2 linked regions of the Struthio camelus genome follow. The protein of the gene in region 2 purifies or fractionates together with the protein of the main gene of each other region. This does not show direct contact. Links are inferred from orthologs where the notes say so. Each region holds a gene or a part of one and is shown on either strand. Other genes may lie near its edges.

What was found.
Region 1: the proteins of UQCRB (region 2) and COX6B1 purify together in Homo sapiens (affinity purification with mass spectrometry; 3 studies listed by BioGRID and IntAct, counting the BioPlex papers as one, with this or other methods). This does not show direct contact. The link is inferred for Struthio camelus from reciprocal best matches to the Homo sapiens genes UQCRB and COX6B1.

The regions. Positions count from the first base shown.
Region 1 is NC_090974.1:158,031-173,210, reverse strand, and holds the start of COX6B1 (cytochrome c oxidase subunit 6B1), read right to left. Parts: upstream 6,003-15,180; 5' UTR 5,812-6,002; intron 4,149-5,811; 5' UTR 4,147-4,148; coding exon 4,041-4,146; intron 1,708-4,040; coding exon 1,607-1,707; intron 1-1,606. Other genes in the region: FBL (rRNA 2'-O-methyltransferase fibrillarin), read left to right, coding at 7,378-7,387, 8,631-8,705, 10,027-10,185, 10,684-10,778, 11,904-12,074, 12,751-12,883, 13,851-13,963, 15,116-15,180. UniProt on the Homo sapiens protein: Component of the cytochrome c oxidase, the last enzyme in the mitochondrial electron transport chain which drives oxidative phosphorylation.
Region 2 is NC_090943.1:148,241,001-148,256,012, reverse strand, and holds UQCRB (cytochrome b-c1 complex subunit 7), read right to left. Parts: upstream 7,944-15,012; 5' UTR 7,932-7,943; coding exon 7,802-7,931; intron 6,461-7,801; coding exon 6,389-6,460; intron 5,115-6,388; coding exon 4,948-5,114; intron 3,928-4,947; coding exon 3,850-3,927; 3' UTR 3,684-3,849; downstream 1-3,683. Other genes in the region: MTERF3 (transcription termination factor 3, mitochondrial), read right to left, coding at 10,185-10,379, 12,583-12,744. UniProt on the Homo sapiens protein: Component of the ubiquinol-cytochrome c oxidoreductase, a multisubunit transmembrane complex that is part of the mitochondrial electron transport chain which drives oxidative phosphorylation.

The sequences.
Region 1 (15,180 bases), on a different chromosome or scaffold from region 2:
ACAGGGACATCATGGGGGACCCGGGAGCAGCAGGGATGCTGCACTGACACCATGAGAGACGTGAGGACACCATGGGGGGTCATGGGGGTGGTGGGGACACACCAGTGGCACCATGTGGGACCTGAGATTTCTGTGGGGACAGCACAGTGATGCTAAGGGGGACAGAGGGACACCATAAGGGACCTGCAGGTGGCAGGGACACCGTGGTGACACTGTGAGGGAGCTGGAGGTGGCAGGGACATCATGGTGACACTGTGGGGGACCTGGGGATGGCATGGGGAACCTGGGGGCAGTGGGGACACCACAATGACACACCATGGGACACAAGGGCAATGGGCACACCACAGGGGACACAGTGGTGGACGTGAGGATGTGACAGAAGACACGGAGATGCTGGGGATGCCATGGTGACACCATGACGGACAAGGGGGCAGCAAGACCCCTGGGGTGACACTGCCAGGGACACAGGGGTGCTGTGGGGATGCCATGGTGGCGCATGAGGGATGCATGGGCAGTGGGGACACCACGGTGACGCCACGGGGGCATTGGAGACACCACGGGGATGCCCCGAGGGCTGTGGGGGCACCATGGAGGTTCTGGGGACAGTGGGGACGCCACAGTGGCACCGTGGGGGACACTGTGGGAGATCTGGGGGCAGCGAGGACACCACAGGGGTGGTGGTGGCACCATGGGAGATCTAGGGGCATTGAGGACGCTACGATGATATCACGGGGGCATGGGGACACCACAGTGACACTGTGGGGGACCCGGTAGCATCAGAGAGACCACAGTGACGCAACGAGGATGCCGCAGTGCAGAGCACCAGGATGGTGACGACGCCACATTGACACCATGGGTGACGTGAGGGCATTGGGGACACCCCAGTGACACCACGAGGGACCTGAGGGCACTGGGGACATCACAGGGGAACGGAGGACATTGAGGACACCACGGTGACACCACGGGGAACCTGAGGGCACTGGGGACATGCTAGTGACACCGCCAGGGACCTCACAGGGAACCTAAGGGCACTGGGGACACCCCAGTGACACCACGAGGGACCTGAGGACACTGGGGACATCACAGGGGAACGGAGGACATTGGGGACACCCCGGTGACACCATGGGGAACCTGAGGGCATTGGGGACATCACAGGGGAACGGAGGACATTGGGGACACCACAGTGACACCATGGGGAACCTGAGGGCATTGGGGACACCCCAGTGACACCATCAGGGAACTGAGGGCATTGGGGACACCATGGTGACACCGTGGGGGACCCGAGGGCATTGGGGACATCACAGGGAACCTGAGGACATTGAGGACACCCCAGTGACACCATCAGGGGACCTGAGGGCACTGGGGACATCATAGGGGAACGGAGGACACTGGGGAAATCCCGGTGACACCGCAGGGGACCTGAGGGCATTGGGGACACCCCGGTGACACCGCAGGGGCATCAAGGAAGCCACGGTGACACCGCGGGGGAACTGAGGCCACGGGGGACGCCGCAGCGACGCCACGGGGAACGTGAGGGCATGGGGGACGCCCCGGTGACACGGCGGGAGCGTTGGGGACACACGGGGACGGGGCAGGTGACACTCACCCAGGAGGTGGGACACAGGGACTTGTAGACGCGGTAGTACCACTGGCAGGGGCTGGCGTCCGCCCCCTTGGCCGCCATCGCCTTCTGGCAGCGGTGGAAATCTGGGGGCGGCGGAGGCGAGGGGGTGTTAAAACGCAGGGGGTTGAGCCCCCAGGGGGCCCAGGCGTCCGGGAAGGGGACCCCGGCCCCTCCCGAGGGGCCCAGGTGGCCGGGAGCACCTTCCGACCCCTTCCAAAGGGCCCAGGTGTCCGGGGAGAGACCATGGCTTTGGGAGCCCCTCTAACCCCCCTCCACAAGGGGCCCAGGCGTCCGGGGGGCCCAGGCGTCCGGGGAGAGACACTTCGGCTTCCGGGAGCCCCTCTAACCCCCCTCCCAAAGGGGCCCAGGCGTCCGGGGGGCCCAGGCGTCCGGGGAGAGACACCTCGGCTTCCAGGAGCCCCTCAAACCCCCCTGCCAAAGGGGCCCAGGCGTCCGGGGAGAGACACCTCGGCTTCCAGGAGCCCCTCTAACCCCCCTCCCAAAGGGGCCCAGGCGTCCGGGGGGCCCAGGCGTCCGGGGAGAGACACCTCGGCTTCCGGGAGCCCCTCTAACGCCCCTCCCAAAGGGGCCCAGGCGTCCGGGGGGCCCAGGCGTCCAGGGAGAGACACCTCGGCTTCCAGGAGCCCCTCAAACCCCCCTCCCAAAGGGGCCCAGGCGTCCGGGGAGAGACACCTCGGCTTCCGGGAGCCCCTCTAACCCCCCTCCCAAAGGGGCCCAGGCGTCCGGGGGGCCCAGGCGTCCAGGGAGAGACACCTCGGCTTCCAGGAGCCCCTCAAACCCCCCTCCCAAAGGGGCCCAGGCGTCCGGGGAGAGACACCTCGGCTTCCGGGAGCCCCTCTAACCCCCCTCCACAAGGGGCCCAGGCGTCCGGGGGGCCCAGGCGTCCGGGGAGAGACACCCCGGCTTCTGGGAGCCCCTCTAACCCCCCTCCACAAGGGGCCCAGGCGTCCGGGGAGACACCCCGGCTTCTGGGAGCCCCTCTAACCCCCCTCCACAAGGGGCCCAGGCATCCGGGGGGGCCCAGGCGTCCGGGGAGAGACACCCCGGCTTCTGGGAGCCCCTCTAACCCCCCTCCCAAAGGGGGCCCAGGCGTCCGGGGAGAGACACCTCGGCTTCCGGGAGCCCCTCTAACCCCCCTCCACAAGGGGCCCAGGCGTCCGGGGGGCCCAGGCGTCCGGGGAGAGACACCCCGGCTTCTGGGAGCCCCTCTAACCCCCCTCCCAAAGGGGGCCCAGGCGTCCGGGGAGAGACACCTCGGCTTCCGGGAGCCCCTCTAACCCCCCTCCCAAAGGGGCCCAGGCGTCCGGGGGGCCCAGGCGTCCGGGGAGAGACACCCCGGCTTCCGGGAGCCCCTCTAACCCCCCTCCACAAGGGGCCCAGGCGTCCGGGGAGAGACACCTCGGCTTCCGGGAGCCCCTCTAACCCCCCTCCCAAAGGGGCCCAGGCGTCCGGGGGGCCCAGGCGTCCGGGGAGAGACACCCCGGCTTCTGGGAGCCCCTCTAACCCCCCTCCCAAAGGGGCCCAGGCGTCCGGGGGGCCCAGGCGTCCGGGGAGAGACACCCCAGTTTCCGGGAGCCCCTCTAACCCCCCTCCCAAAGGGGCCCAGGCGTCCGGGGGGCCCAGGCGTCCGGGGAGAGACACCCCAGTTTCCGGGAGCCCCTCTAACCCCCCTCCCAAAGGGGCCCAGGCGTCCGGGGAGAGACACCTCGGCTTCCGGGAGCCCCTCTAACCCCCCTCCCAAAGGGGCCCAGGCGTCCGGGGGGCCCAGGCGTCCGGGGAGAGACACCTCGGCTTCCAGGAGCCCCTCTAACCCCCCTCCCAAAGGGGCCCAGGCGTCCGGGGGGCCCAGGCGTCCGGGGAGAGACACCTCGGCTTCCGGGAGCCCCTCTAACCCCTCTCCCAAAGGGGCCCAGGCGTCTGGGGGGCCCAGGCGTCCGGGGAGAGACACCTCGGCTTCCAGGAGCCCCTCAAACCCCCCTCCCAAAGGGGCCCAGGCGTCCGGGGAGAGACACCTCGGCTTCCAGGAGCCCCTCAAACCCCCCTCCCAAAGGGGGCCCAGGCGTCCGGGGAGAGACACCTCGGCTTCTGGGAGCCCCTCTAACCCCCCTCCCAAAGGGGCCCAGGCGTCCGGGGGGCCCAGGCGTCCGGGGAGAGACACCTCGGCTTCCAGGAGCCCCTCAAACCCCCCTCCCAAAGGGGCCCAGGCGTCCGGGGCGAAAGGGGGGCCCAGGCGTCCCTACCCACCTAGTTCCGACAGCTGGTTTCGAACCGCTTCCGGGTGCGGAAGCGGCGCCCGCGGAGCCTCCCCCATCCCCAGCGGGGCCCCGGCGTCCGGGCCTCCTGCCCCCCGCCCCCGGAAGGGGCCCAGGCGTCCGAGGGGCCCAGGCGTCCCTACCCACGTAGTTCTGCCAGCAGTTCCTGGTCTGGTTCTGGTTGGGGAAGCGGCTGTCGAACGGCGCCGTCCGGTAGCGCTGCAGCTTGGCCTCGATGTCGTCCGCCATCGCTGCGGGGGGGGGGGGGGGGAACGAGAGCTCGTTAGCGGGGGGTTCGTTAGCGGAGGGGGGTCGTTAGCCGGGGGGGGGCCTTAGCAAGGGGAGCTCGTTAGCGGGGTTCGTTAACGGGGCTTGCAAGCGGCGGCGGGGGGCGTTAGTGGGGTGTGTTAGCAGAGAGGCGGGAGCGGGGTTCGTTATCGGGGGGGACTCGTTAACGGGGTTCGTTAGCAAGGAGATGCCAGCAGGATTCATTAGCGGGGCTCGTTATTGGGGGGCTCATTAACAAGGTTCGTTAGCAAGGAGATGCTAACAGGATTCATTAGCGGGGCTCGTTATTGGGGGGCTCATTAACAAGGTTCGTTAGCAAGGAGATGCTAACAGGATTCATTAGTGGGGCTCGTTATTGGGAGGCTCATTAACAGGGTTCGTTAGCAACGAGATGCTAACAGGGTTCGTTAGTGGGGCTCGTTATTGGGGGGCTCATTAACAGGGTTCGTTAGCAAGGATGATAGCTTCTTATTAGGGTTCGTTAACAAGGGGCATTAGCAGTGGAGGTGCTATCAGGATTCATTAGCAGGGGGTTCATTAGTGGGGGGGCTCGTTAGCAGGTAGTTTATTAGTCGGGGGGGGGCTAATTAGCAACGTTCATTAACTAGGAGGCTCATTAATGGGGTTCGTTAGCAAATAGGTGTTACGGGGCGATTTGTTAGAGGGAGTTCTTGGGGGGGGTCGTTAGCAGGGCTCATTAACAGCGATCGTTAGTGAGGTTTGTTAGCAGGGGGCTCATTAACAGGGTTCATTAGTGGGGGGTTCGCTAAGGGGGGTCGTTAATGGGGTTCGTTAGCGGAGCATGCTAGCAAGCTTCATTCACAGGGGTCGTTAGGAGGCTCGTTAGCAGGGGGGCGCTCGTTAGGGCTGGAGCTAACGGGGGCTCCCCGAAACGCTGCAGGGCTGGAGCTGGGCAGGGAGAGATCCCAGTGCGCCCAGTGCCCTCCCAGTAAGCCTGGGTTCCCCCTCCCCAGTGCTCCCAGTAAGCCTGAGTCACTCCTCCCAGTAAGCCTGGGTTCCTCCTTTCCCAGTCCTCCCAGTAAGCCTGAATCACTGCTCCCAGTAAGACTAAGTCCCCCCCTTCCCAGTGCTCCCAGTAAGCCTGAGTCATTCCTCCCAGTGCTCCCAGTAAGCCTAGGTCCCCCCCTTCCCAGTAAGCCTGAGTCACTCCTCCCAGTAAGCCTGGGTTCCCCCCTCCCCAGTGCTCCCAGTAAGCCTGGGTCCCCCCCTTCCCAGTGCTCCCAGTAAGCCTGGGTTCCCCCCTCCCCAGTGCTCCCAGTAAGCCTGAGTCACTCCTCCCAGTAAGCCTGAGTCACTCCTCCCAGTAAGCCTGAGTCACTCCTCCCAGTAAGCCTGAGTCACTCCTCCCAGTAACACCGAGTCTCCCCCTCCCAGCACTCCCAGTTAGCTGCCCCCCCTTTCCCAGTGCCCCCCCAGTGCTCCCAGTAACCTCACTCCCGCCATTTCCCAGTGCTCCCAGTTCCCCCCCCCCACCGGCCTCCCAGTCCCGCCCTTTCCCAGTGCTCCCAGTAGCCCCGGATCCCCCCGCTTCCCAGCGCTCCCAGCACCCCCCCCGAGCCCTCCCAGTGCTCCCAGTTCCCTCCCAGTGCCCCCCGCCCCCCTCACCGAGTCGCGCCGCTCCCTCAAAGTGACTTTCACCGCCGCCGCCCTCGCACCGGAACCAGCGAGACGTCGCGAAAGCGCAGAGCGGCGCCGGAAGTGGCGCGGTCCCCCCCCACTCTAGCGGCCCTCAAGGGGCGGGGCCACAGAGATGAGGCGGCTAGAGAGGCGGCCGGGCAGGGAGGGGGAGCGGCGAGGAGGACCGCGGCGGCCATAGAGAAGAGGCGGGAGGACAGAGCGGCGCCGGCCGCCGGGGGGGAAGTGGGCGCCGAGAGGGGCCCTAAAAGCCCCCTCCCCCGGGGACCCCCAAATCCCCCATTCCTACCCCAAAACTCCTTCCAGTACCCCCCAGACCCCCCAAATCCCCCATTTCTGTCCCAAAACACCTCCCAAGACCCCCCAGAACCCCCCAGATCCCCCATTTCTGTCCCAAAATACCTCCTAGGACCCCCCCAGAACCCCCAAATCCCCCACTCCTGCCCCAAAATACCTCTCAGAACCCCCAAATCCCCCTTTTCTGCCCCAAAACACCTCCCAGGACCCCCCAGAACCCCCATTTCTGCCCCAAAACACCTCCCAGGACCCCCTAGGACCCCCAAATCCCCCAATCTTGCCCCAAAATACCTCCTAGGAACCCCCAGAACCTCCATTGGTGCCCAAAACCACATCCTAGATCCCCCCAGAACCCCCCAAATCCCCCTTTTCTGCCCCAAAATACCTCCCAGGACCCCCCAGATCCCCCATTTCTGCCCCAAAACACCTCCCAGGACCCCCCAGAACCCCCATTTCTGCCCCAAAATACCCCCCAGGACCCCCAAATCCCCCATTTCTGCCCCAAAACACCTCCCAGGACCCCCCAGAACCCCCATTTCTGCCCCAGAATACCCCCCAGGACCCCCAAATCCCCCATTTCTGCCCAAAAATACCTCCCAGGACCCCCCAGAACCCCCCAGATCCCCCATTTCTGCCCCAAAACACCTCCCAGGACCCCCCAGAACCCCCATTTCTGCCCCAAAATACCCCCCAGGACCCCCAAATCCCCCATTTCTGCCCCAAAACACCTCCCAGGACCCCCAAATCCCCCATTTCTGCCCCAAAAAACATTCCTAGGATCCCTCAGAACCCCCCAAATCCCCCTTTTCTGCCCCAAAATACCCCCCAGGACCCCCAAATCCCCCATTTCTGCCCCAAAACACCTCCCAGGATCCCCCAGAACTCCCCAAATCCCCCATTTCTGCCCCAAAATACCTCCCAGGACCCCCCAGAAGCACCAAATCCCCCATTTCTGCCCCAGAATACCTCCCAGGACCCCCAAACCCCCCATTTCTGCCCCAAAATACCCCCCAGAGCCACCAACCTCTCCCCCCCCCCCCGTGCCCCCTCCCTCTTTGGGAGCGGTGTGGGCACTTCCGCCCGGCCCCGCGCGGCGTCGGAGGGGGCCGCGGCGCATGCGCGGGACTCCGGAACGGAGGGGGGCGGTGGAGCCGCGCCGTGACGTCAGCGCCGCGCAGGCGCTTCCGGTTCCGGGGCCCCGAGAGCGGCGCGTGCGACCCCGCGTGGAGCAGCGGCGGGATGCGGCCAGGTGGGGGGGGGGGGGAACTGGGAGGGACTGGGGCGACTGGGAGGGACTGGGAGGCACTGAGGGGCATTTAGGAGGGGCTGGGGGCGACTGAGAGGGCCTGGAAGGGACTGAGAGGGCAACTGGGAGGCAACTGGGGAGGACTGGGGGCAACTGGGAGGGAGCAGGGGGCACTGGGAGGGACTGGGAGGGCTCGGAAGCAACTGGGAGGGGGATGGGGAGCCCTGGGAGGGAACTGGGAGACATTGGGAGGGAACTGGGGGGTATTGGGAGGGACTGGGAGAGACTGGGGGCAACTGGGAGAGACTGAGGGCAACTGGGAGAGATTAGGCGGGACAAGGAGGCAACTGGGGGGAGTGGGGGCAACTGGGAGGGAGCTGGGGGCACTGAGAGGGACTGGGAGGGCTCGGAAGCAACTGGGAGGGGGATGGGGAGCCCTGGGAGGGAACTGGGAGACATTGGGAGGGAACTGGGGGGGTACTGGGAGGGACTGGGGATATTGGGAGACCCTAGGATGAGGCTAGAGAGCACTGGGAGGGACTGGGAGAGACTGGGGGCTTTGGGAGAGACTGGGAGGGAGCTGGGGGGGACAGGGAGGCAACTGGGAGGGAGCTGGGGGTACTGGGAGAGACTGGGAGGGAGACCCTAGGATGGGGCTAGAGGACACTGGGAGAGACTGGTGGTGTTGGGAGAGGCTGGAAAGGACTGGTGGGCACTGGGAGGGAACTTGGGGGGGTACTGGAAGGTGCTAGGAGGGAACTAGGGGACACTGGGAGGGGCTGGGGGACACTGGGGGGCACTGGGAGAGGACTGGGGGACTTTGGGAGATGCTGGGAGGGACAGGGAGGCAACTGGGGGACACTGGGAGGAAACTGGGGGGGGGAACTGGGAGAGGTGGGAATGGACTGGGAGATGCTAGGGGGGCTAAGGGGACATTTGAGGGCCTGGGGGCTACTGGGCATACTGGGAGGGACTGGAAGCGATTGGGGGTACTGGGGGGGGGGAATACTGGGAGACAGAAGGAGACTGGGAAGGAAATTAGAGCAACTGGGAGGGAACTGGGCAGACTGGGAGCAAACTGGAGGTGATTGGGGATGCTGGGGGGGGATGCTGGGAGACAGGAGGGGACCGGGAGGGATATAAAGAGACTGGGGGGGAACTGGGCAGACTGGGAGGGAACTGGGGCGGCCTCTGCCTGCTGCCCAGTGCTCCCAGTTGGCCCAGTTTGAGCGCCCGTCTCCGACAGGGTTCAGCCCCCGGGGGGGCCGCGGCGGCGGCTTCGGGGACCGCGGGGGACGCGGCGGCTTCCGGGGGGGCCGAGGTGAGTGTCGCCCCCTCCCAGTACCACCAGTGCTCCCAGTATGACCGGCGCTGCCGGCCCTGGGGACGCCAGAGCCGGGCACGAAGCTCCCCGCACTGTCCCAGTCCGCCCAGTGGGGCTCGGGGCCCCGTCCCAGTCCACCCAGTAGCTGCCCAGTTCCTCTCTGCGTTCATCCCAGTCTGCCCAGTAGCTTTCCCACCCTGTCCCAGTCCGCCCAGCAGCTCCCTTGTCCCCTCCTAGTGCTGCTCCATCCCACCCCAGTCTACCCAGTAGCTCCCCAGTCCCATTCCCAATCTGCCCAGTTCCTCTCTGCTCTCAGTCCAGTCTGCCCAGTAGCTCTCCTGCCCTGTCCCAATCTGCCCAGTAGCTCCCCAGTCCCATTCCCAGTCTGCCCAGTTCCTCTCTGCGTTCATCCTAGTCTGCCCAGTAGCTCTCCTGCCCTGTCCCAGTCTGCCCAGTAGCTCACCGGTCCCATTCCCAGTCTGCCCAGTTGGGCACTAGTTCCATCCCAGTCTGCCTACTTTCTGCTTCTTGCTGTCCCAGTCTGCCCAGTTGCTCCCCCGTCCCTTCCCAGTCTGCTCAGTCACTTCCCCATCCTTTCCCAGTCTGCCCAGTCATTCCCCGGTCCACTCCCAGTCTGCCCAATGGGGCTCCCCCACCCCTTCCCAGTGCACCCAGGAGCTCCACCGCCCCCTCCCAGTCCGCCCAGTTGCTCCCCCATCCCCTCCCAGTTGCTTTCCCATCGTTTCCCAGTCCGCCCAGTGGCTCCCCCATCAGCTCCCAGTCACTCCGCCGTCCCCTCCCAGCCGCTTTCCTGACCCTTCCCAGTCTTCCCAGTCCTCTTGGTCGCTTTCCCGTCCCTTCCCAGTCCACCCAGTGACTTCCCTGTCTCCCTCTCAGTCTTCCCAGTCCGCCCAGTCGCTCCCTCTCCCCTTCCCAGTCCGCCCAGTCGCTCCCTCTCCCCTTCCCAGTCCGCCCAGTCGCTCCCTCTCCCCTTCCCAGTCCGCCCAGTCGCTCCCTCTCCCCTTCCCAGTCCGCCCAGTCGCTCCCTCTCCCCTTCCCAGTCCGCCCAGTCGCTCCCTCTCCCCTTCCCAGTCCGCCCAGTCGCTCCCTCTCCCCTTCCCAGTCCGCCCAGTCGCTCCCTCTCCCCTTCCCAGTCCGCCCAGTGGCTTCCCCATCCCTTCCCAGTCCGCCCAGTCGCTCTCTCTCCCCTTCCCAGTCCACCCAGTGGCTTCCCTATCCCTTCCCAGTCCTCCCAGTCGCTCCCCAGTCCCCGTCCTCGTTAGGGGCCTCGTCAGCGCCGCTGGCCTTGGCCCCGCAGGTGGCGGGTTCAAGTCCCCCGGTGGGGGCGGCCGCGGCGGTTTCGGCGGTGGCCGAGGAAGAGGAGGGCCCGGCCGGGGGGGCCGCGGCGGCGGCCGGGGGGGTCGCGGTGGCTTCAAGGGCGGCAAGAAGGTGACGGTGGAGCCCCATCGGCACGAAGGTACCGGGGGCCCAGGCGTCCGGGCGGGCAGCAGCACGTTTGGGGGAAAAGGGGGCGGTTTGGGGAGGACGGGGGTGGTTTTGGGGGGCGCCGTGGGGCGGTTGGGGGGGCGCCGTGGGGCAGTTGGGGGGGATGGAGGCGGTTGGGGGGGACGGGGGTATTTAGGGGGTGCCGTGGGGCGGTTGGGGGGGGGACGGGGGTGGTTGGGGGGGTGATGGGGACAGTTTAGGGGAGGACGGGGGTATTTAGGGGGCACCATGGGGCAGTTGAGGGGGATGGGGGTGGTTGAGGGGGTGCCGTGGGGCAGTTGGGGGGGACGGGGGTGGTTGAGGGGGTGATGGGGACAGTTTAGGGGAGGACGGGGGTATTTAGGGGGCACCATGGGGCAGTTGGGGATGGATGGGGGTGGTTTAGGTGGTGCCGTGGGGCATTTAGGGGAGATGGGGGTAGTTGGGGGGCACTGTGGGGCAATCGCACCCCCCGGTTTTGCCCCCCCAGGGGTGTTCATCTGCCGGGGGAAGGAGGACGCCCTCGTCACCCGCAACATGGTGCCCGGCGAGTCCGTCTACGGCGAGAAGAGGATCTCCGTGGAGGTGGGGGGCAACTGGGAGGGCACTGGGGGCAACTGGGAAGCACTGGGGTAGGTGTGGGGGGAACTTGGGGGAATGAGGGGCAACTGGGAGGGACTGGGGGCAACTGGGAAGCACTGGAGTAGGTGTAGGGTGTACAGGGAAAGCCTTGGGGGGGTAACTGGGAGGGCACTGGGGGGAGCTGGGAGCAACTGGGAGGCACTTGAGGCTACCGGGAGGGCACTGGGAAGGCAGCAGAAGCAACTGAGAGGGACTGGGGGCAACTGGGAAGCACTGGGGTAGGCATAGGGGGTACTAGGAGTTCTGGGGGCGCTACTGGGAGGCACTGGGGAGAATATGGGGGAATGGGAAGGAACCTGGGGGGCAGCTGGGAGGGCACTGGAGGCAGCTGGGAAGCACTGGGGTAGGTGTAGGAGGCACTGGGAGCAACTGGGAGGAGCTTGGGGCTACCGGGAGGGTGCCGGGAGGCATTTGGAGGGCAACTGAGAGGGACTGGAGGAGGATTTGGGGGCAGGGGAGGGCACTGGGGGCAACTGGGAGGCACTGGGGGAGGACTAGAGGGCACAGGGAGGGCCTTGGAGGGAACTGGGGGGCACCTGAGAGCCACTGGGGAAGGCCTGGGGGCAACTAGGAGGGCCTGGGGGCTACTGGGAGGCACTGGGGGGAGAACTAGGAGCCATGGGGGCAACTGGATGGGCACTGGGGGCAACTGGGAGGACACTGGGGGGGACTAGGGAACACGGAAAAGGATTTGGGGGAGGACTTGGGGGCAACTGGGAGGGACTTGGGGGAAACTGGGAGCTCTGGAAGGGGTCCCTGCGGTGTCCCCTGTCCCCAGGCTGGTGACACCAAGGTTGATTACAATGCCTGGAGCTCCTCAGGCTCCAAACTGGGAGCACTGGGAGGTGGCACTGGGGGGTGTGAAGGTCCTGGGGGTGTCACCACTGGGAGTGACGCGACCTTGGGTATCACTTATCCCTAGAATGGTGACACCAAGCTGGAGTACCAGCACCTGGACCTTCTCGGACTCCAAACTGGAGGCACTGGGAGGTGGCAGTGTGGGGTGTGCAGGTCCTGGGGGTGTCACCGCCGGGGGTGACGGATCCCTGGGGTGTCCCCTGTCCCCAGGACGGTGACACCAAGGTGGAGTACCGCGCCTGGAACCCGTTCCGCTCCAAGCTGGCGGCCGCCATCCTGGGAGGCATCGACCAGATCCACATTCGCCCGGGGGCGAAGGTCCTCTACCTGGGTGCCGCCTCGGGGACGACCGTGTCCCACGTCTCCGACATCGTGGGACCGGTAAGGACCCCCCCGCCGGGGGAGGGGACACAAGAGTCCTGGGTTGAGGGGAAGTGGGGACGAGTTGTGGTCTCCTTGGGAACGTTGATGTGGCGTCCTGGGGCAAGGAGACGTGGGGATGGAGTTGTGATCTCCTTGGGGACATCTGCCTGGTGTTCTGGGGTGAGGGAACGCGGGAATGGGGTTGTGATTCCGTTGGGGACATCTTCATGGCGTTCTGGGGCAAGGGGACCTGGGGATGGGGTTGTGTGCCCCATGGGGACGTCACCATGGGGTCCCAGAGGTGAGGGGATGGGTTGTGATGCCCTTGGAGGCATCTTCATGGTGTCGCAAGGCTGAGGAGACCTGGGGATGGGATTGTGATCTCCTTGGGGACATCTTCATGGTGTCCCAGGGGTGAGGGGACCCAAGGACAGGACTGTGATCGATCCCCTTGGGGACATCCCTGTAACATTTGGGAAGGGGCGACTTGGACCTCCTGAGATTGTCCCTGCAGGTGGCACATTTGTGTCCTCAGAGATGTTTTTGCCCAAGGCTGTCCCCACAGGGGGCAAATCCCTATCCCTGTCTTCACGCTGTCCCGACGGGGGGCAGCTCCACGTCCCCAGGGGTGACCCCCAGGCTCGAGGACCCCGAGGCTGTCCCCGCAAGGGGGGTGACCCTACCTGTCCCGCAGGAGGGACTGGTTTACGCCGTCGAGTTCTCCCATCGCTCCGGCCGCGACCTCATCAACGTGGCCAAGAAACGCACCAACGTCATCCCCGTCATCGAGGACGCCCGGCACCCCCACAAGTACCGCATGCTCATCGGTGAGCCTGGCTGCGGGTGACAGCGTTTTGGGTGTCCTCAGGGTTTTGTGGGGTGTCCTACAGAGTTATTTTGGGGTCTTAGTGTGGCTAGGAGATGATTTTGGAGGTCTTGGGGGCATCTTGGAGGTGCAGGTGATGGGTGTGGGAGCGTCCTATGCCATCTTGGGGAGGTTTCTGGTGTTTTTGTGGGGATCAGGAGGACCTAAGGTGAGTTTGGGGTTATTTTAGGGGTCCTACATAGGTACTTTGGGCCTTAGTGTGTCTAGGGGAGGATTTTGTGGGTCCTGGGGACATCTTAGAGATGCAGGTGGTGGATCTGGAGCTATCTTGGGACACCTGGGAGAGGTTTCTGGGGCTTCCTAAGGGTTGTTTGGGGATTTGGGGGACATAGAAGGGGGCCCAGGATGGGGGTTGGGGGTCTAGGAGAGGTTTTTGTGGGTCTAGGGGTGTCTTGGAAATGTGGGAGGGCATCTGGTGGCATCTCATGCCACCTGGGGGAGCTTTTGGTGGTGTTTTGGAGGTCAAGGAAACCTTAGATGAGTTTGGGATTGTTAGGGAGGTTCTAGAGAGGTGTCTTGGGGTCCCATGGGGTTTAGAAGAGGTTTGGGGGGGGTATTTGGAGCGTCTTGAAGATTTAGAAAGTGGTCTGGGGCCATCTCGGGGTACCTGGGAGAGGTTTGTGTGGGTCCAGTTGGGTGTGTTGGGTTTTGAGGGGCTACAAGAGGGTTTAGGATGAAGATTTGGGGTCTTGAGACAGGTTCGAGGGCATCTTGGTGTCTTGGGAGGTTTCTTGGGAGTGTTTTGTGGGTTAGGGGATGTTTGGGGGACCACAAAGAGGTTTCGGGAGGTCCAGGAGAGGATTTAGGGGGGTTGGGGACATCTCGGGGGGCTGGAGCACAGTGGTGGGAAGTTTTTTGGGGGGGGGGGGGGGTCCCCGGCCCCCTGTCACCTACCTCGTGACACCCAGGCATGGTGGACGTGATCTTTGCGGACGTCGCGCAGCCCGACCAGTCGCGCATCGTGGCCCTCAACGCCCACAACTTCCTGCGCAATGGTGGCCACTTCGTTATCTCCATCAAGGTAACGAGCGGGGCGGGTTGCTGATGGGCCAGTGACAACCAGTAGTGACCCCTGATGGGCCAGTGACAAGCAGAAATGACCAGTTATCAGCCAGTGATAACCACTAATGAGCCAGTGAAAACCAGTGATGACCAGTAATGGACCAGTGACAACCAGTAAGAGGCCAGTAACAGCTAGCAGTGACCAGTAATGGTCAGTGATAGCCAGTAATGGAGCAGTGACAGCTAGTTATGAAGCACCAATGGACCGGTAACAACCAGTAGTGACCAGTATGGGCCAGTGACAACCAGTAACGACCAGTAACGCACTGAGGACAGCAACTAAGGACCAGTAGCAGACTGATGACATCCCATAGCAAACCAGTAACAGGGCAATGACGACCAGTAGTGACCAGTAAGAGCCACTGACAACCAGTAACAGGGCAGCGATGGCCAGTGACAGGCCAGGAATAACTGGTGGCAACCAGTAACAGCCCAGTAATGACCAGTATCAGCCTGGGATGCACCAGTAGTGACTAGTAACACCCTAGAGACAGCCCAGTAGTGACCAGTAACAACTGGAAGCAACCCCAGTAATGACCAGTGACAGCCCAGAGCTTCCGAGTAATGACCGGTAACGCCCTAGAGACAGCCCAGTAACGACCAGTAATGACCCGTAGCAATCGAGGGGCTCCCAGTAACAACCAGTTAAGACCCAGTAAGAACCAGTAATACCAGGGACATCCTGGGAAGGGGGACAGTTCCCCTCCCATCTCAGTTTCTGCCCCAGGACTCCCCATTTTTGCCCCAAAATCTCCATTTCTGCCCTGAGACTCCCAATTTTTGCCCCAGGATCCCCCTTTCTGCCCAAGGACTCCCCATTTTTGGGGCATTTCACCCCAAGACTCCCCCTATTTGTGTTTTTTCCCCCTCCTATGCCCATTCCTGCCCCGAGACTCCCCATTTTTGGGGGATTTCACCCCAAGACTCCCCATATTTGGGTTTTTCCCCCCTCCTATGCCCATTCCTGCCCCGGGACTCCCCATTGTGGGGGATTTCACCCCAAGACTCCCCATTTTGGGTTTTTTTCCCCCTCCTATGCCCATTCCTGCCCCGGGCCTCCCCATTTTTGGGGCGTTTGACCCCGTTCACCCCTTCTTCCGCCCCCCCCAAGGCCAACTGCATCGACTCGACGGCGGCGCCCGAGGCCGTCTTCGCCTCCGAGGTGAAGAAGATGCA
Region 2 (15,012 bases):
AAAACTGTCCTAAAGGGCAGCATTAGTGGTGAAATCCTTATGATAACCTTTGACCTTTGCTATCTAGAAAGAAAATGCTTTAAGTAAGAATGTGTTTACCACATTAAAACAGTTCCATTAAAATGATAAGCATGATGTTACAACAGAGATAAATCTCATAAGAATTTTGATGAAATTCTCATTCGGATGAAAGTTGGATGCAAAACACATTTCCTGTTACAGAGCAGCAAAAATCCATTTTCTTGTTTGACCGATTCAAAATTTAAAGAAATCAGTCTGCCATAACAAACATCATCTTCAGCGACCAAAGCATATTATTATTTTTCACTAGGTATTTAACAAAAGAACTTCAAGCGACATGCAGGGTCACTTAAAAGTGCTGAAAATTAGCTCAAGCTAAAAACTATCAAATTGCAAGGTTAACACTATTAATGACACACAAATAATACAGTTGTGCCAAAAATGTTGTGAATTCAAACTACAAAAAGACCTCAGTAATTTATGGAATCTGTACAAAATTTCTAATTTCTACCCAAATAAACTACATTAATGAAGATCAAGGTTTCAAAATCAAGTTAGGAAATGGAAAATTCACTGTTGCCTTGTGACATGACATCTTAAATTACAGAATCACATTTTTCCCAGTAGGATCCACTCTCTCCTTACTCAGTGCATAGCTCAGCTTTACTTACCGCACTCTGTACAAGACACAAATATATCAGCTTCATTATAAGTCTTTCTATACTTACCATCAGAATGAAAGGATTGTGAGGTCTTCTCAAAACTGTCAAAATCCCTGTGAGATTATACTCATGCCACCAGCTGTAGTATTCGTTTTGTGAACATATAGATGAATATCCAAATTTTTAATTAATATTCTCAAAACTATTGAATTTAGACAAAGCTGTGATCAATCCATACTTCCGCAGATCTAGCCCCAAGCACCATATACTGAATATTTAGCAAAACGCTTAGTAAGCTTCTGCAAAAACTCTAAGTGACTTGCTCAGTGTTACAGAAGAACATAATGAAAGCAGCAGGAAGAAAATCCAGTTCTCCAAAACAGCATTCTATTTCCTTTGTTATCAGACTACCTTTTCTTCTTCAGCAATTTGTCCTTCTTTACCTGTTCTTAAGCTTTTGATTAAAATGACAGACAATTTTTCAGATGAGCTCATTGCTGCCTGTCCTAGATCATTCAAAGAGCAGCACATAGCCTACACAATGAATACAACAGGATCCTACAGATACTGGCACAAGAGAAACAGAAGTGTTAAAAAGAAATTGTACATCTGGAATTCCCTAATTTTTGCAAGCCCATTCCTTTCCATCCCAAATATTTTTTTTTAGGAAAAAGATTAAAGATTCAAAACAGGAATCACACTGACCCTCCAATTAGTCACCAGCAGAATTCAGACCTTTCTTATAACTAACAGTGTTTCAACCAGCTACAGAATAACGGGAGTAGCTTAATGCGCATACAGGGTGACAAGAGAGGATGAAATATGAAATGCCTTCGAAAAGTTTTTCCAGCTATTAGCCTGTAACAGAAGCATTCAAACCTCACATCAAGTTCTAGAGAAGAGTTTACAGTCTGTAACACAAAGCTATCACAGCTCGCAGTTTCCAGGTCATCAGGATCCCTCTCTTACACCTCCTTGCCTAAATACCTCAAAGAATACCAAAAACACATTTTCCTCTCTAATGTTCTAATGTTCTGAGAAACAGTCTAATAGTTTTCACCACAGATTTTCACCATGCTTCAACAGGAGACTACTGTGCATTATATAAGCTTAAAGTTAAAACTGATCCAGTCAAAGTCAGAAGCATCTGAAAACGTCTAAATGGAAGCTGTCAAACAATCTTAACTGTGGCAAACAGGTCAGCTTCTGATACTCTTTCCCTCCACCCCACAAACTGTTATACAGAGCACTTGAAAAGCTTAGTTCTATATTTTATTAACTTCTATTTGCCTCTGACTCTCACAATGTTAAATTTGAGAACAAATAGGTCAGTGATTTCAGGTCAGAGTGTCCTTTCAAAAATGTCAGGCTATTTCAAAGCGTCTGATGCCAGCAAAACCCTTTTATCTAACCCAAGATATTTTTGAAAAAATCTTTGAACCACATTAAACTTAATCCAAACTTGTAGTCAAATAAGCAGATGCTATCTTTCTGCAAAATCCTACCTTTTACAGAAGTCTGGCAGCGATACTTTCAAATGCTTAAGAAATTCCAAGCCCATGTCCATTAGATAGTATTCTAATTTTCTAAGAGATAACAAAGTAGTTCTAATTCCATTAGGAAATGAAGTATTCTAATAATTCTATACATGAGAAGTGTGAAATGTTCAGGTCCTATTTGTCTCAGGAAAAAGTATATTAGAAAGCTCTTGACACTAAATCTGCATACGAAAACTCTAGCATGTTTCAATTGCAAGATTCTGCTATAACCTTAACAAAGCAAGAAAAAAGGATTTTCTCAAGTTTGCAAGAAACTGTAGGTGATGAAAGCAACTTCATAGTCTTAATGCAGTTTCCTCTACATTTGTTAAGGAATATTAGCAATGCAGATATTTTTGCAGTATTTTGTTTTATCACACTAGGCTATCAAATTTGAAATAAACATTTCAACTAGGTACCACTCTACTCATTCTCCAGATGTAAGCAAGCATGAAGCAAGTAGATAAAGGTTAGAAACATTCTTTTAGCTTTGATAATGACTGTTCCTATTCTAACTTCTAACCCAGAACGCTATCTGATCATACCTTTGAACTACGGACTTGGTTTGCTCCATATTTATATAATTGTATTTTAACTGCTTTGGCTTTTTATCTATGCATTATTGCATTTGGCAGACAAGCACGCATAACATCCCCCTCTCCCCAAAAAAGAAACTTGTAACTATCACACAAGATTGTGGCCTGACATTTTCAACTGCGTGTGGCACCAAAGGCTGTCTCAAAACTACCATTAAACTATGGAAGACTCTAAACTCAAGATCTTCAGCCAACAATGGCTAATACTTCCTAGATATAACTAAATTGCTTCTGTGTTTAAGCAGAGACTGAATTCCGTGTCCATCTCTAATGGCATTAAGCCTGTTACCTTGACAGTTTAAAATACTTCAAGCCAATCATTATAAACAACAACATGCTTTAGGCTAGGAAAAAGATATCCAAAGTTTATTAATTATACTGTAGAAAGGGTACCAACATACCACTTTCACCCTTTAAAAGGTTAGATTGTCTCAAGAACCTGAGGTGAGACAGTCAGCATTTATATGAGAATACACTTTTAGAGCATTAACAAGGTACATGGTGCAAAAAGGTAGTGAAATACTTCCTCATTTTGTGATTAAGAAACGATTTATACTTTCCACTACTACATTTTATCTGCTTAGATCCACAGAATACGACATGCTGCTGTTTCATGATGCCACCGTAACCTCAATTCCAGTATTCTTGCCTCCATGGAGAAGAGGTGGTAAAGGAAATAAGCAACCCCTTTATAAGCAACAGATGAGCTAGCATCAGCAGCCTTGGCTGTTTCTTACCTATCCTGCCAGCTGCAGGAAACAGCTGTACTATGAAAAGAGTATGAATCAAGAAGTTGGAATGAAGACTGCATACCACTATGGTATGGTAACACTAGCTTGTTAACATTTACCAAGAAGTCTTCCAAGTAGATTTTATACTTTGACACATTTATTTTACTTGGATGAACAGATTCAATGAACAAGCAGAAACATGTATTCCTTAAGCCTCATATTTGCCTCCAGTAGACTTCTTCTATAACCACCTTTAAAAATATCAGAAAGAAGTGGACATTCACATGGAGTAGTTCAATAGTCATTTCTTGTTCCATGCTTCTCTTTCGAGTCGTTCACGGATTACTTCTTTTAGGTATGGTTCAAGATAACGCTTATCCTGAAAAAAAAAAAAAAAAATTAAACTTATAGGGACGGCCAGAAACAACTAAAATTCATGCAGACTACTTCCCTCACATTTCTCCTCAGATTTGAGGAAAAAAAAACCCAAACCAAACCCTCCACACACTGCTCACTGTGAAAAGATAAACTTAACACATTTGCAATTGTTGCAAATAGCAGCGTAGTAACTGCTAACTCCTATTGCCTCATGAACGTTAACAAGCAGTGATGCTTTCAGCTGTACCTTTAGAAATAATGTTCTCTTGTCAAATATCCCAAGTACGAGGTTGAGGAGTCTCATTAAAGTGCAACGCCAAGCTAAGTGACAGCCAGAGTCAAATTACTAAACCCACAAAATAAATAAATGCATCTGAATTAGGAAAGATTCTAAGATGCGGAAATGTACATGATCCACTTTATTCAGCTCAAAGTCCAACAAAAATACTCTTTGCACTGAAGAATTTTTTCCTCAACTTTAGCTCTAAACACCACTTCAAACAGATTCAACAGAACTCAGCTGCATTAAACACTCATAAATCAAACTGCTGCTCAAGTAACTTAGGCAATCAGTTGACCAATGCAGCAGTTACCAAAACATTACCAAGGTTTTCCTTCAAGTTATTATTCCTTTGCATTTTTAAGAATAAAAGCTTTGGCTCAAGATTTTCTATAAAATTAAGATGCTCATCAGAAAAGCAAGAGACGTTTTTTAAGAATTTCTAAGCCAGTTACAGCAGATTACCTTACCTGACAATGCAGAAAAAATATTTCATCTGAATACAAACTGAAGCGCTAAGACTCTGATCTGTAGTTTAAGCCTTTGTCATGTTGAGCAAAGTGTTATAAAGGGATCTTCCATTGCAAAATACACGTTTTTAAACGGGGATCAAAAGTTCTGATTTTCAAAGGTATCCTATTAGACACGGACTGCAATATTTACTCATTATGAATAATATGCAAGTATACACCTCCACCACATAGAAAATCCTGAAGACTCGGAAACACTCTGTGCACATACCTCTTCATATTTCACCCACTGTTCCTTTGGAAGGATCTGATGTTTCAGACTTAAGTCAAGTGCTCGCTTCATGCGAAATATTCTCTCATTGTAAAGAGGCTCTGGAAGCCTCTTGAGTGCTTCTTTTACATCGTCATCTTCGTACAACACATCATCTCGCATTAACCCTGTATTGGCAAGATTTTACAACATCATTGAATAAATATCACTAATTAAGATTTACGATTAACATAGGTTAAACATAACACTAGAATCACACCTAAAATGCAAGCACAGACCAATGCAAGAGAAGAGAATTAGTATTTGCTCACAGAGAACAAACTGTAAGCACTGACTTGCATGTACATGATTCACTTGGTGATGCTCTCTCTCAAAAATGAACAGGAAAAATGGATATTTGATTCTATGTGTTACACTGGAGTACTCAGAATACATATAGAAAAGCAGCTAGCCTGGATATGAAGGGTGGACTTACAGTCAACAAATTTTAGATCCCTGTATTTAAGATGACTGTCTAGGTTTAGGATTTAAAAGCACTAATTATATTATAGTCACTCAAGTAGCTGTGACTACTTTAGCATCAAAGAACTGTTCTCTAAACTCCACCGTGCATATGGACTAGATCTCCACCAGCTATAACTAGCTAGGGATGCCTGAAGTTAGATGCCTCTGACTAAGCTTATTTTCCTACCAAAAGTGAATACAGGGAGAATAATTTGGTCTCCTCAAAGCCAAAAATAGACCCACATTGTTTTTGGAGCAAACGATTTCTGGAATTCAATCAACTCTGCTATAAGTTTCAGCATGAACAACACAAAAGAAAAAAAAAAAAGCTTGTTCTGCTTCTGTAACGTTCCAAGATAAATGCAGATTATAAGTACGTGTACTGGTTCACGGATAAAGGTTTTGATTTTGATCTTATGTGACTGAGCTAGCAATAGTCTCTGATTAAAGAGACCTTTCTTGTTTGTTTTAAGAGCCACATATGCTTGAATTCAGTTTTGTAAAAAAAAAAAAAAAAAAAAAAAAAAGTATAAGGACAGTTGCTAGTTTAATCTTCAGGTTTTTAATCACAGTCATAGAAAAGCAGCAAGTAGTACTAATATCTTCAAGAATTTCAGCAGGCAGGAAAGAAGAGGGCCTAAATCAAGTCCTGGTGAGACAATGACAGGGTAAACTTAGGCAGAAAAAAATGAAAAACCCAGTTTCCCTGGGACACAAAAAAAGAAAACCAAAAAAACCAGAAAAAAAGAGTCAGTGATTCATTACTAGATAGCAATCGCAAGGACTGAAGCTATTGCTAACTTTTTTCTACAGACAAAAATAGTAATTAACTTTGATAAACAATACCTATGTCAAATGAGCATATGTGTACCAGTAACGAATTAAAGCTAGATTGTGAGACTTTTTGCTTAGGAACACATGCAGAAACAATACCTACCAAGCTTATTGAATCCAGCCGCATTGTAATACCACTTACGAATGCTTTCTAACAGGCGGCCACCTCCTGAAACTGAAAGCGACTGTTATTAGTCCAAGAGCAAGACAGAACTTAACATTTACACGTTACCCTAACAGCATGTCAATGCTCGCTGACTTCCTTCACATGCAGTAACGCAACATTACGTCAAGTTTGCACTATGTCATGTACGATTTGGCTTCTCTGCTTTTCCGTGTTCTTAAATTGACACTGAACATTGAGAACGAGCACCAGTAAATACAAAAATCCCAACCTCTCTTTTTGCACAATTTGACTATTAGACTGTTCTAAGACTTGGAACAATGCTAACAGCCCAGAATCAAAGACAGCAACAATTACTTTAGGATCCATAAGTTTCACCTGGGCTAAGAACATAATGCCTTACAGAAAGCGAAGTCACAGTGCTTTTCAAATCAATTATCTATAGCTACAAGTTTTATAGCTCTCGCTGTGGGTTGGTATGATGTCATGGCCAGCACAGTAACGTTGTTAGCCTTCTGTCCCCCTTCCTACTACTTGAATAATATTCTAGTGCCTATATCTTCAAGGCCTCCCAAAGTAACTGCAAAGTCAACATGGAGAACCTCAACAAAAAAAAAAATTGTTCTAAAGAAAAAGACCACACCAGTAGCACAGTAGTCTTTTCTAAGCCATGAATTCTGGGTAGAAGAGGACAGAGCAAAGCTACAAATCCTTGACAGTGAAGTTCTCTTCAGTATCAAATACCACTGAAGTAATTCAGTTAGTTTGCCTATCTAGAAATCCAGAAACTGAACAACGGAGCAATATGGTGCAAGCTGCTTTTTATGCTTTTGAGTCAGCTGTCTTATTAAGTTACCCCAAAGGAGCAGTGCTACATGTGACCCCAGCATGTCACTGGTACATTACTTCATCAGGACTTGTCCTTCATACTGTTAATGCCTGAGCAGCAATGATATTGAACACCCTAAGCCCGAAGGCAGCCCTTCGGCCTGACACCGGTTCCCGAAGCCCTCCGCTGAGCTGCAGGCGCTAGCAAGGGCTCCCCTGCTCCCAGGCACCCTGCGCCCCGGCGTCCTTGGGAAGCCGCACCGGGGGAAAGCCCACGGCGGAGCCAGCCTCGCCCTCCCCGGCGGAGGCTCCGACTGTCGGGTCGCCGCTCGGGACGGGCGGGAAGGAAGCCGGCCCGCAAGGGCCAGGCCGGGCCGGGGCACGACAGCCTCCCGCCCGCTGCGGGCGCCGACAGCGCAACTCCCCGCGCCCAGAGCCCGCCGGCTCCCGGTAAGGCCCCCGCGGCTCCCCCAGCGGCAGCGGCGGCGGCGGCGAGGGGAGCCCCACGCCGCGGGCCCCACGGGCGCGCCCCACGAGCCTGACCCCGGCCCACCAACGCCTCACCCGGTGCCCTCGCCGCCATCTTGACCTCGGAGGCGCGCGCTGCCTGCTGGGTAACGCCGCGGCGTCCCCAGGCGCGAAGGGCGGGGCAGGACGCACCTGTGCCGCCAATGGCGGCTCGGCGCTTGCGCATGCGCCCCAAGTGAAGGGCGGGGCCTCCCCTGCTCCCGCCCCCGGCTCCAGGCCGGCGGAGGCGTGGCGGCGGCGGCGGCGGTCCGGGGCGCAAAGGGGGTGCTCGGGACCGCTGCGCCAAGCGGGCTCCAGCGCCTGCGCGTAGCCTTGCCGCCGAGGCACAGGACCGGGCGCACCGAAGGTTATCCAAGGCCCCAGACTCGCCAAATCCCACAGCGCAAATCGGAGCGGAGTCAGGCGAGAAACGGCACTGGAGAGAAGCCGCAGACACAACGGGCAAGTGCCCCTGTAGCGAGTGCTCTGCAAACTCATTTAGGCAGCTGAATTTGATAAGCAGGCAAACAGTACACTTCAGAGACTGCAAGTATCTGCCATATGGTATCCAGCAAGCCTCAATTACTCAACATACCCAACTTAATCATAAGCTTCTAGCCCTTATCAAGAACAACAGACTAGAATACTTTGGAAATTCTAGGCCAAACCTTTCTTCTGAAGACTTTTTTAATCTTGAAGCCAAAAAATATTTGGTATGATTTCCAACAAGCTCTTCTATCCTCTCTCCCTTTTCTTTTAGCATATCCATAAATTTTTTTGTTTCCTTTCTTCATAGTATTTCTGGGAAACTATTTTGGCAAAAGCTCATGCATTCAAAATTCCAAGGAGACTGGTTAGTTTTGACAGTAATCATGTTTGTGTTTAAACATATTAAAGGAATTAAAAGCTCAACATTTAGGACATTGAAAATTTTATATGTAATTACAGTTTAAATTATAATGCCTTGTCACATGGCGACAAAGTAGCGATGAGGACAGAGGGGTAGATCTGAAAAAAGAAAAGGAAACTGTCTTTACTTTGGCATTATGAACGCATAGGTTCTGCTATAAAAATTAGTTTGTTAGATGGTTTGAAGGTTATAGCTTATTAGGCTTAACCTGCCCTTTGCTTTAATAAGGTCAACAATCTAAGAAAGCATCTTGAATTAGATTTAGCATACTTCTTATCTGAAAGCGAGGCTGGGAAAGTGTTTAGCCGTCACATTTTGGGCCACCACTTGAGATGAAATTTGTTATATATCTCCACCAAGAACGTTATGCTTTCAAAAAAAAAAAAAAACCCACCCAAAATATTTTCATTAAATAAGCTTAAATCCAAATGAAAACATCTGGATTTAAGTTTCCTGAACTATTTTAACCAAAAGAATGGAAACTTTAAACAATAAACTATTAAGACAGTTTGCCTTCAGATTTAGTCATTTTTTTCACTTTACCCAAATATATTGCGAAGCATTTCATAATTCTACATTATTTGTTGATAGCATTAACTACTTTTAATACTCGTACAATTCCTAATGTTACCATCTACTTCCGTTATAACTGAGCAAGATAACAGTTATCAACTACATATATACTACAGCTGCTTTTTGTATGGTTGCTTGTATATTGAAGCCATACAAATCACATCAGGGATGGGGCAAAACTACCTTTTTCCTTCCCCTCCCAGAGGCAGAGGGGAAAGTGTGTTATAAAAGTAAAACTAAACATGTCCCTGAAATCTTGAGGGAGGGTTTTTTTTTTTTTTGGCCTATATTCAGTTTGCTGATTTTTGTTTATATTTCAAACTAAGTTTGATTGTACAGCTTTTAGGATATTAACTTCAGCAACTAGCCTCAAAAAGAAGCACCCTTCTTGTAAGCTATTGTAAAACACCACTTTGTATGAGGGGCTTCATGTATGTAGTTGTGTACTTCTCTCTACAAGGAAAAGAAAAGAATTACATTATTAGCTGCTGCGATTAGAACAAGTGATCACTCCACTTCTTTGCTGTTGCACTGGCTAGTTATTCTAATTCTTGGAGGGTGGTGGGCTGAGGAGATGAAGAGGAAGAGGCAGAGAAGTCAGTCACTGGTCAGTTTTTCCCTTTCCCAAAGCTCTGAAGTTATTGAAAAAGAAAGGTAGAAGAATTTGCTTTAATTTACTTTTCTGCCAGTGCATCATTCATTCTGAATTAGATAATAGCAATTAATTACAAGGATTACAATCAATAGCAATCAACATATATTTGCTTAATCCTTGTGAAATACACTTGAAGTCACCATAAAGAACGTTACTCTTAGCCTTTACGCACCACAAATGTTTCACAAGCAACAACTTCTTAAACCAGTAATTAAGAAGCTAAGAGACCATAAAAGGGAGTAGGTTTACAAAATATGTTTATTTCTTAACTTTACGTTATTCCTTTTTACATGTGTTACTAATTAAAGTGTTTTTAAGAATTTTTCAAAGTCCTGTATTGAGGCTTTAGCAATCTCTGTACAGAACACCTCATCAGGCAAGGATACTAGCTGGTCAAGAGAGATGTAGCTGGGTTGCGCTGGGTCATACTGGGCTCTTCCCAAGAACGTAAGAAACGAATGTCTCTCTTTGATTCGTAGAAGTTTTGAGTTGAAAACCTAAGAAAGAAAGAAAAGGGAGACGCTTTTAGGGGGTCTAAATTTCAGAATATGATGAATCTAAAACACAGCAATTTATAGACAACCTAAGTTTTAGCAAGAAAATAAATGATTTAGAACTTTTGCCCTCATTTAGGCCAAATATCAGAAAGAGGTTAGAATTTAAATCATATTATATTGAAACAAGAGAAATCAGGGAGTGATAAAACTGTTGAGCATGACAGCTTATAGGCTGATAGTTACACGCATTACTTTTGGGTAATCACAGCCAAGAAAGTGGAAAGGAGACATTCAGATACAGGGAGCAGGAATGCCTAAGCATTTTGCATATACAGGTGGAAACACTTCCTTATACAGTCTCTGTACAGATTCAGATTGGGATTGTTATGGAGAGGAAATTGCACTGTATTACATAACACAAAACAGTGAAGCACATAGTGGCAACAGAGAAAGTGAGTGGCTGCATCTCTTTCATAACACAGCCAAAAGGCACTGTTCACTGATTCAGAACAGCCACTGATCTTCTGCACAGCAGTGCTTACCCTTGAAGGCATTTGTCATGAAGAGAACTGCAGTCAAAGGTAAGAACAATGACAAGGAAACCATGGAAGAAATCAGTGGGATACATCTGAAAGGAGAGAGACGTGGGGAAGACAACAGGGAAGTAGGCTGCAGGTGCATCATAGATGCATAGTAAGAAACCTTAAAAGCAGAGATCTAGCTCTGCAGTACAACTAAAGAGAGAAGTTGCTTTAAGAGCCGATTATAATGACAACAAGAATTGTGAAGGGAGTGAAAGTGAGCAAAGTTCTTAGTAAAAAGGGAAGACTGCAGTATTGAGGGAAGGACTATTGAGGACGCACACAATGCCTTGCTTGCACTTTAAGGGAGAGTCAGAAGAGGGGCAAGGGGCAGGGGAATAAAAATAAATAAATAAATCAGACTGACCACTGCTTATGGACTTGACTAGGAAGGATGATCAGCAGCTGCAGCAGCAGAGAAGATGTGACAAAAAAAAAGTCCTGAGTGCCTCTTATTTTTGGCATTATTGTCATCCAGGCTGGTTGATGGCCAGGCCATATAGCAGACTGAGTTGTGCTAGCCTCTTTGTGAAAGCCACTGGTTTTGAGGATGGAAGGGAAGAGAAGGGAAGAGAGAGAAGGTGTCTGCAGTAAGAATGGGAAATTAAGGCATCTCTCCACTTCCTCTCCAAGCAAAGAGAACAGAAATAATGAGGTGAAGCACCACAAAGACGGAACAGTACAACTGAGAAGGAAAGGAGCAAGGCTTATGGTGATTTACAAGTCAAGGAGGGCAAAAGTGAGACATGGATTGGTACTACAGCAAACATCAGTGTTAAGTAAAGACAGGTATATATCAGATATCAAAGCAATCAAAACCCTGGAGAGCAGTCTTATTTCCCCATATAATACATTGCTTTTTTAGCCAGTTAGATTCCCTGTTAGATTTCCTTTAAGAAGAAAGTTATTCACTACTGAAGTTGTAATGTGTGCTTTTTTTTCCTTGTAAAAGTTACTGGGTGCTATGCAACTGATTGCATGTCAGCACTGGATAAAGTGACTAATGCTTTCAACTTGATTTGCGAGGCAATAACTGTAATGAGAAGACAGAAAAAATGAAGTAGCCATCAATAAGCTCAACTACTTTCATTTCTGTGATTATTTTTAAGCCTTTGCAGTAGCAAGGTCAGTGAGAATCTTACTGCCTCATGGAGAAAACTTCTTTTCTTGCCTTTAAACTGTAAGATATTTTCAGATCTTAGAATGTAGAAAATTTAATTTTTAACCAGGCAAATTCGAAAGAGAAATGTTTATAAATGTGCTGTGTAATACGCTCCATGTTTTCTTTCTTGTCTCTTACCTAGACATAAGGTTTGAAGACGACGAATCCCTAAGCAGGCACTAATCTCTCTTGTATGATTCCAAAAGAGATCAGCATGATTACTCCTGTTAGAAATAAGTATTCACTAGACTGCAGGAGGAGGGAATGAAGAGAACTTCCAAACTGGAATTTATAGCAGTTGGTAGGTTGCTAAAAAAAGTTATCCAAATTAAAGTAACAGCCAGACAAGATGAAGAATTCATGTCTGTCCTGCACATAGCAAGGCTCCTCCTTTGGCACCAAACTAGTAAAGCAATTAGGCAAAGAGCACCTACATTTTATCCCCAGATTAACAGCTCACCTGAGGAAATTGAGTAAGCATGTGGTGGGGAATGCCCATTATATTGTGTAGGTAGTCAAACGTCCGCCTGAGCCTCTTTTTGCTTGCAGTTAAAATCTTGGGGGTTTTAAACACAATATGTTGAATTTCATTACGCTGAAAACCAAGTTCAATCTGACATACCTGAGAAAGAACACAATTTTATCTTCAAAAGTCAACTACAGCAAACTTAATTTTTTTTTCCCAACTAACCTAACACAAAATTCTTCTACCCTTTGTCACTCAGCAACATGAGTACAATCCACAATAGTATCTGTGACTCCAATTCTCTGAAGCAGAGAGTGAAAGCTGCTTATCACTCTGGGTGAAAGTATAGTTTGTTTGTAAAATATCCCTTAAGTAAAGATAATTTCTCTGAATGCTATCTATTTTTCAGTTTGTCTGATATATGAACAAAAAAGCTATGTCTTTGTATGCAGGGCAGTTACAAGCATAAGACTTCTCCCCAAAGAATCTTTGTTAATACTTCTGTTAATGTGCTATTTCTCTTCTAATATATTCAAGTGATATCTGTTTTACTAAGGAGCATGATTTCAATCCAGCAATTTTTAGACATGAAGTCCATTTAATTGGAAAGAGACATGCAGAATACCTGGTATATTCAGTCTACTTTACAGTCGGTTAAGGCCTGAAGTAAGATGTCTTGTTCAGAAACTGCCCTGACTTCAATTACAGTTTCCCAAAAGGAAAATATAACACATTTTTTCAATAAAATCATGGGTACTCCTCCCAAAGGGCAGGATGGCAAGCAGTTCGTTGAGTTGCAGAGAAAGGAATTTAGCATACAAGAGTGTCTGTCTGGTAGTTCATCCATTTATTCTTTCCTCCAGTGACATTTACAAGCAGCTTATTTTTAGTTATCAGGCCAACGTGCTCACAGTCAACATAACCAGACTTTCAAATCCAGCTCAGGTGCTTCTACAGTTGGCAAGAAGGTGGTACATTTTGTTTGCCCGCTTTGATCTGCCAAGACCAAAGCTCTTTTCTTAGACTGCCTGGCAAACGCGAAGGGAAGGGTTTGGTATCAGGGTTTTGAAGCTGCCTTAGGACTTTCAGGCCTGGACAGGCACTTGTTTCTAGAGATTACTATATTCAGGTCTCTCAGCTACTGCTTATTCCCTATCTGCTTTACAAATATTTGCCTATCACAAAAAACATTAACAAACAGATAACATTGGAGTATAAAGAGATGTGTGCACGTAGCGGTGTTTTTCACAGATTTGAATTGGGAGGCATAACTTGCTACACTGAAAACAAAGACTAAGACCTGATGTTAAATCAGTAGAGATGTATAGCTGGCCCGACTGTACACTTAATTGTGGCAAGTCTCTTGAGCTTTCCACTTGCCTGAATTTCCGCTCTGTGAAACAGGACAACAATAATTCTCTCAACTGACATGGAGCTCAAGTGCAAATCCCCTTGATTATTCTCAATTTGACTTCAAATTATTTATGTTCAGCAACTCCCCAGACTGTGTATATTGATATCCTTACTGTGTACACCCTAGCAATGTTCAGCGTGCTCTGCATGATTCCCAGCAAAGGCAATGATAATGCAAATTTTCCAATTCTACTTTATCAGTGGATCTCTGATTGGACTTGATGAGACCTCTAAAGGATGGAACAACCCATTCCTGAGCTCATTTACTTCATGACTGGTATCTTTTGATAACCAGTATCAGTTGTAGCAGTTATTTCTAAATGGTAACAGCCCACTTGGAACAAGGGATGCCACCAGATCACTTTGGAATTGCTGTTATATGGTTTCACTTGCAGAGTGCCACTTTTCCACCGCCAACCTAGGACATACAGGACAGAATCCTGATCAAGTCTGAGACATTCAACTTCCAGAAAAACTGGAGCTTCTGAGTATCAGTAGATTCCAACAGTGAGGACCTAAAAATCCTTCCCCTCGCTCCATAACATTTGTTTAAAATAAGAATGGTACGCTATATACTTTTGACAGTTGGACAAGATAGTCGCACAGAACTCAGGGTCTTAAAAACACATTCATTATAATATACTGAATCCCCAGCCTGTGGAAATAACGTTCATTAAAAAGAAAGCACAATTAATTGGAACAGCCTGCTACTTTCCAGTCTCCTCCCTTACCACACACACATTCCAGATTTTAAGACTCCCAGTGCTTAATAGTTTCAGAACAGTAAGTCTGTCTGCAAATTATATATTTTAATTCATAGTTACATATTATAGGATAATGGGATTTCTCAATTTGTTACACTGCATCATGCTCTTTGGCCTAGCTGGCTTTAAAGCACAATAATTAAAGCAATACACAGTTACATTTTCAAAGGGAAAAGGAGTCCCTGTGGGTTTGAAGTTATTTACCCAACAGTTGTTAATAACGACCATCTGCTATCAGATAATAGGT